Drosophila melanogaster: one gene and its partner. The protein of the gene in region 2 interacts with the protein of the main gene of each other region in a pairwise test. Each region holds a gene or a part of one and is shown on either strand. Other genes may lie near its edges. The genes, in order: CG42597 and MFS18.

Evidence for each region.
Region 1: the proteins of MFS18 (region 2) and CG42597 interact in a two-hybrid assay, tested with the Drosophila melanogaster proteins (one large-scale study listed by BioGRID).

The regions. Positions count from the first base shown.
Region 1 is NT_033779.5:22,064,062-22,067,632, forward strand, and holds CG42597 (uncharacterized protein), read right to left. Parts: upstream 1,283-3,571; 5' UTR 1,200-1,282; intron 1,136-1,199; 5' UTR 1,133-1,135; coding exon 632-1,132; 3' UTR 543-631; downstream 1-542.
Region 2 is NT_033779.5:4,446,859-4,450,789, forward strand, and holds the start of MFS18 (major facilitator superfamily transporter 18), read right to left. Parts: upstream 1,778-3,931; 5' UTR 1,570-1,777; coding exon 1,502-1,569; intron 1,436-1,501; coding exon 1,048-1,435; intron 994-1,047; coding exon 130-993; 3' UTR 1-129. Other genes in the region: CG15439 (uncharacterized protein), read right to left, coding at 2,658-3,505, 3,915-3,931.

The DNA of each region.
Region 1 (3,571 bases), about 18 Mb from region 2:
AGCGCTTTTTATTACATAATGGCCCAAGAGAGAGTCAATCGCACATGTGTTCTTCACAGAGTTCGAGCCACTTTCTATGTTAATTGTTTGGTGGCACAAATGTTACTAATTACACCCACACCTTTAGCGCAACTGCAGCTTATGTTTCTCGAATTTTCTTGCCTAAGGGATCACGGATGTCCTTTTGTATAATAACCGTAAGACATGATTTGTTCGAAATCATTTTCTCCAACGGTAATTATTTCACTCAGATTCCATTTAAGCGCGCCCAAACAGTTAAATGTCTTACAAGTTTCCGCTCCCACCCGTGACATATTTAATTGCCCTATGGCTTCGAATCGAGACATTAGAAAAACCTGTTGTTCTTCTTAAGTAAAGGTCGTATGCTAACATTTACAAAGGTGCATCGCATCCTTTTGTGAATATCGAGCTTCATTAAGCATTGGGGTGCATAGATATCAAAGACTATATTTGACTATTTCACTGTTAAAAGAACAAAGAGATGGGTACTTGAAATTAGAGATAACCAATTTTTTTTTTTTGAGCACCCTTTTAATAAAAAAGTGCACATAAACTAGAAATGGTATCCCAAATTAATAGAAGGAACCGAAAACGATGTGGGTCCTTTTGCTTATTTAAAAGATTTCTGTTTGGACGAAGGACGACTTTGTTGTGTGATGATTCTCCAAGACTGTTGTGCCATTTTCCAAACTTTGGCCGGTCGATTTGTAATGGCACCCACTATCACTAAAAAGATAACTCCCAATAAAATCGTGCCGATCTCCTGGAAATTAGTGTTTGTACGGCTGCCCAGGCCCAACCAATTGGTTATAACATTTATAAAGTTGACGAGAAGCGTTTCCATGGAAAGCCATACGCCCACCATCAAAGTTTCGCCAATAAGGATGGCGATAATGGTCTCAAGGATAAACTTTCCCCACCGCGGAATGTTACTCCAGTGCGTGGGTATTACCTCTGTGTCGCACAGCAGATCCATCACTGATAAATAGAATAACTGGCTACCAAAGACGGGGGTGTCTGCAATTATACCCGGATCTAGATGTATGAAGAGCGTTGTGTGGAGCACCATGTGCACAACGAAGGCCAATAGAACAGGCGTGGGACTGGTCATTTCCTTAGAAAGGGATATTGGTTAACTATCGGGTATTGCCTGTATATAGACGTTAGAAGTGACTTGCCTGCGCGGTCTTGTAAATATGTATAAGTTACACAAATTTAGAATGAATAAGGTAAAAAAAACAAAACACATTGTTTTGTTTGTTTCAATTTAAAATGCTTGCTGGGTCGGAGAATAATTCCTGTATTGCGTTGGCAAGTTAAATGAAAACTTTAGGGACTTCAAAGTTGAAAACCAGCTGAACTCGTGGAAGACTAAAGCAGATAAAAAATTGATTGATTTTTATGAAGTCTACCTTACCTTTACCACTACCTTTTAAAACGGATTATACCTACTCCCTTATCTTTTGTAATATGTAATGTCAATATCTTTATGCGAGAGGTTAGTACGTGCTTCATTGTTCACTTTGCCTGTAAAAATTGGCTTTGGCACTGAATGTTTAATTCTGTCAGCTAAAAAATGCATAAATATCATTTTAATTAGAAAATTAGCCGAAAATATGCAGCTCACGTTAATCGTATGACGTCGTCGTCGTTGCTATAGTTGCAACATGGAAACGAAACTGAATCGCAATTGAAAACTTAGGTGGAGGGGATACGAATCTCATGCAATATCCAGAAGATACATCCCCAACGCACTCACCTCGAATGCGGAGCACCACTTCTGGCTCCACTCCGTGCTCCTAATACCGGAAATCATTTGCATTTTACTTAAATTAGTGTTTCTTGCAAACAATTGCTGTAGAATTATTTATATAGCAGTACCATTTAATTGTGCCGCCATTTTAAATTCCAATTAGATATCCAATGGAAGTCCGGCCAAAAGCCAACATCACTAAAAAGAAATTGGAATTTTTATCAAAGCAAGGAAGTCGTAAGCTCACTTTGATGAAGTTTTGTCATTTAGCCAAATAAGAATACGCGTACTGCTCGCCAGACCCACACAAAATGGTTCGCTTTTGTGTGCGCATATTTTTTTTCTCCTGCTAACTCAGTCACCTGTCGTGGATTCTAGCTTATTACGGTTTTTTGTGCTTATTGAACAGCCGCCACCAAAAATTCCAATATCAAAACTCATATTTGCCGATGTCGAGCGAAGCAAATTGAATGAGGAACACTGAACAGCTGCGAGAATTTAACATATTTGTAATATTACAAAAACTGCCAGTTGAATATCCGGTAGTTTTAGTATTAAAAAAAAGTTCATATAAATATGATTCCTGCTGAGGCCTACCTATGATTCGCATTTTTGAATAATTCATCGAATTTACAATTAAACTTTTTATACCCGATATTCGTAGAGTAAAAGTATAAAAAAATGGTTGAGCGCTTACGGACAAGACGTAAGATCGCAAATAAACTGGAGTCTGGTGGCAAAACAGCACATGCTTTTGAGCGATTATTGGCAATTCGCACCATTAAATTGAGCAAGGGAAAATGTTCCGAAGACAGTGCAGAGCAGACGAAGTCTAGTGATGATTGCAAGGCACAAACGCGTAAGGATGTAAATATCGAGGTCAAAGAGACTTATTCCGGCGATTCCTCGCCTAACAGTGAGAGCGAGAATACAGCCCAAAACGATCCGCAAACGAACGTTGAAAGCGATGAACGCGTATCCAACCTGGAACAGCTGAGTCGAGCAGTGTTAAAACGGAACGACATAAAGAACTTACTGGGTAAACCTATTTTCGCGGAGGCTGTGATTGGATCCTTTGTGCGGCTAAATGTTGGAAAAGTCTACTCCATCTACGAAACTATTGCTCTGCATCAGGACAGTAAGGACTACCGGGTAGACGGTAAGCGTACCAATCTGATCCTGGTCTTGAGGTGCGGTTCCGAAAAGCGTTATTCACGTATAGACGTGGTTTCAAATCAGCCAATTACACAAAAGGAATTCTTGTTGTGGTTGGGAACCAATCTACGCCATCGATGCACTTCACCAACGCTTAATGACAACGCTTCCAAATTTTAACCAAGAAACATAAAAAAATAATAAACTTATAACATTTTCGAAAATTGTGGCCGCTGCGGCTTTTCTGTGGATTGTAGGCGTTATGGTGGACGCCGAGTGGGTGTGACGTTAGAGTGGGTGTGCCCAATATGTTTTTGGTATATCGATACCCGGTACTCAGCTAAAAGTATGAACGAGATATTTTAATACTTTTTTGGAACAATATGCAAAAAAGAAGATAGAATGCTATAGTCGACTTCCCCGACCATCAGATACCCATTACTCAGCTAGTGTGAATACAAACGCGAAATTTCATAATTTTTCTGGGATATTGATAGATATTGGGGAATAAAATGAGAACACATTAAAAATTGTTCAAAAGTGTGGGCGTGACCGGTTTGGCGGCTTTAGGGCGTTAGATTATACGTGGAAAATGTTTTTTGACAAATCGATGGAAATTTAAGCAACTTATAAAATTATGAA
Region 2 (3,931 bases):
AAATGATCGTCAATCATAAACGTGTATACTAAATAATATAAGCAGCATGAACATAAATCGATCCACTCCAATATACCCCACACATAAATAAATAGGTTAGTTTTTCTGAGGAAAGTGTGCAAGAGAATGTTAAACGATGGCTTCCGCCGAACCAAAGACTATAAATATGATCCAGCCAACCAAATTGATGCCAGCAGCGGCGCTGAACACCATCGGCCAGCTTTGTGTGAGCTCCAGAATGTGTCCGGCCAAGTATACTCCGAGAAAGCCAGGAATCGCGCCCACTGTGTTCATCAGGCCAAAGACGCTGCCCGAATGCAGAGGTGCCAGGTCTTGGGGATTCACTGTTACCGCGTTGTTGTGGAAGCCCGTGCCGCCAATGATAATGGTCATGCAGATGAGCGCCGTATGGAAGTCCGAGGTGCGGCTCATCACAAACAGGGCCAGATTCTGAGCGGCAAAGCAGCAACTTTGGATGACCTTGCGCACCGTCGTCGTGTGCCATTCGCGAGCGAGTAATCTGGTGGTCAAGTACTTGGCGAATAGCGTGCACGGTGGCAGGGCAAGCCACGGGATCATGTTCACTACCCAACCCTTGGCGTGTGGAAAGCCGTCGTGGAAGTATGTAGGCAGCCAGGAGAGTAGCACGAAGAAGCAGTTCATCTCGCAGGCGTGAGTCAGCACACAGGCCCAGAAGGACAGCCTACGAAAGTATCGCAACCAAGGCACGGCTGACGTCTCTGCCGGACTCTTGTTCGCGCACAGTCGGGATGGCGTGGCAATATTAATGATTCGGTTTCGCTCGCCGGCCATTGCATAGTAGCGCAGCACCAGCGCCCATGCGATGCCCATCAGTCCTATCACCCGGAATACATACGACCAGCCGAAGTAGTCCAGCAGAAAAGATCCCATAATCCCAGTCAGAAGAGTACCTAGAGCCGATCCCGCTGTGAGCAGCCCAAAGAAGCTGCTTCTCTCATTGGGGCACAAATTCTGCAAACGATTAAGTTATAGTTTATGTGTAAATTTATAAAATTAGCTAAGCACCTGACTGGTTAGACTAATCATGCTAGGAAAGTGCACGCCCTGAAGAGCGCCGTTCAGGATTCGAATGGCAACAATGAAGGGAATAGCGTAACTCTTGATGGAGCCCGCCGTCCAGATGATAGTGGGCATTAGGAATGTGATAAGCGACCAGCCGATTGCGGCAAACAGAATGACTCGCTGGCCTCCAAAGCGGTCGCTGAAGTAGCCGCCCACAACCTGCGTGAGTGTGTAGCCCCAGAAGAAGGAGCTGAGCACAGTGCCCGAGTCGGTTTTGCTCCACTTTTGGGCGGATGCCACGGCCGGCACAAGAAGTGGCATAGTGGTGCGGGTGGAGTACAGCATACAGGTGCCCGTAATAAGGGTGATGAACCAGACACGCTTCTCATGCCTGCAATGATCCGACAAAGGAGTTGTACTTGGGGAGGTTTAGTGAGCTGTATGCTGTGAGACCCACCTGGTCCAAATGCTCTGCGTGTCCACCAGTTCCCCGCGCAGCAGAGAATATTTTAGCTTCTCGTCCATGGTCACAAACTGGGTCCGGAACTATTGCCTTTCCTTCACGTCACATATCAACTCCAACTGCTTCGTTGCTTGCCGCTGTGGCATATTTTACTGCCCTTTGTTTACTTTCATTCACGTTGGCGACTAGACACGCCAAGTATTTGCGCCTGTTAAAATTATGTTTTTACGTGGCCGTTTTTCCAACAGCCGCTGGACTAGAGCATAGTGCGGCTTGGTCGACTTGGCTATAGACTTCACTTTATAGCATAATATCTTTTCAACAATATTGTATTTAAGCATAAACATATATCATTTGTAGTTCGAGCTAAAAAATCAAAACATAAAGAATATATTTCCTTTAAACTGACTATAGGTTGCAAATATATAGATATAAATTAACCTAAGTACTAAATTAATGTTCTCTTCTAAGCCCGGTGTAGGGCATACCGAAAAGTACATCGATTTCGTTGTTTATATGATATCGAATGCCGTGAATCGATTATCATTCGATAGCACAACATGTGGTTGGGCTCCTAACAGCACATTTAACGGAAATGCCAGTGGAATGCCGATAAAATACAAATCAATTGTATTGGAATTGGTATTTGGTACTTGTCCATAACTCTGATTGTTTTCAGGAATATGATGGAAAAATGCAGAGTTTCCTTGCTAAAACACCAAAACATGGTCAACATTCGTGGTCAGATCGTTAATAATTTGAAAATTGTATAATTTTATATGTGTATTTAAGAATCAAAAATGAGATGGAATGCTGGTCATGCTAAATAATAAACAACAATGTTAAATTAATTTCCGTTTTCGTATCATGTCGGTTGAACGTCTCATGAGTCCTTTTCGGGTTCCGTCTTTAATGAAATCCAATTCGGTAATATTTATATGGTTTTTATTAATAAATGTATTTATAAATATGTTAAATAACTGAGCCGAACAATTCAGCGAGTGACAAATTACAATTTGGTCAATATTTTATTTTTAATATGAATGTGTCTTACTTATTTTATTTTGTGTATTCAATTTTAGTTTTGTAAATATCGCACGGACCTAATGATATTAATGGTACAAAATCTACGTAAAAATCATGTTTGCTTCTATTTCTTGGGCAGTGCATCCTCGTCCGTGGGATCACAGTCGGCACAGTGCCAGGAGTAGCCGCGAATCTTGGGCGACTTCTTGAGCGGCGGATCGAGGCAGGCGAAGTGATAGTGCCGGTGGCACTCGTCGCAGGTCACCACCTGGTTGGACTTGCCCGTCTGGCTGCACACGCAGCAGCTGATTTCCACATTAGGCTTGGCGTTGGACACCCGTGGTCGACCCACACGCGGCTTTCGGGGACTTGCCTTTCGTGGACTGACCTTTCTTTTAGGTGATGGTGTGGGGTTGACGGAAGCGCTGGCCGCAGTCTCCTTGGGCTCCCGAACCTTTTGCGGTGACGCTGCCGGCAGCACGATGGGTGCCAAGGCTTGCTCCGCTCCCTGGACACTGTCCTCGACTGTTTCAACTGAGGTGGGGCGCGAGGCTTCGTCCACGGAGCGCACCGCATTGGCCGGCACGTAGAAGTATTGAGACTCCGGCGCATCCTCGCCGGGTAAACGCAATGCCTTGAATATAATCTTAATGGTGCTGCCCGAGGTGTTGCCCGCGTTATCCAAATGGGTGGAAGACTCGTCAAGGTGGGCGCGCTTTTTTCGCTTCCGTTTATGCTCCTTGCCGATCGATTTCTCTGTATCCGACGACAGGTTGTGTTTGTTTTTGTGCTTGTCCTTGCGCTTACCCTTGCGCGATAATTTTCCACTGGAGTCGTCAATCGAGTCCTCACAGCCAGATAGGTTAATCACGATAGTATTGGGCGTGGGCAGTGTTGGAGCTGCCGCAGGAGTAGCCGCCGAAGCGGCAACAGGAGCAGCATCAGTTGTGGGAGTGACATTTTCGGCAGGAACTGGCGGAAGAAGATCCGTGACATTAGTTTTATTATTTATTATTAAACATACTTGAATTTGCGCAAAAAATTTTTTCTTTATTATTTGTTAACAAAAAAATAATTTCTTGTATTAAATACCAATTGGGTATAATTCAATAAACGTAAACAAAGATCAATGTTTGAGATAGTTTTGACTTTCTTTGTACAGGCCAAAAAAAAAACAAGTGTAGTGATAATCAGGATTAAACAGAAAACCAATTTCTTCATAAATCATAAATTTCTCTAACCATCAAGCGAAAAATTCCGTTAATTCACGCATACATATTTACACATTTGCATTTAAAAAAAAATAAACCAAAAACTCCAAATCAGCAATAATAATCTAAACAGGTATTGTGCCAAATCGAATTCTCAACAACGAACTCACCATTAATTGGTGTTTTA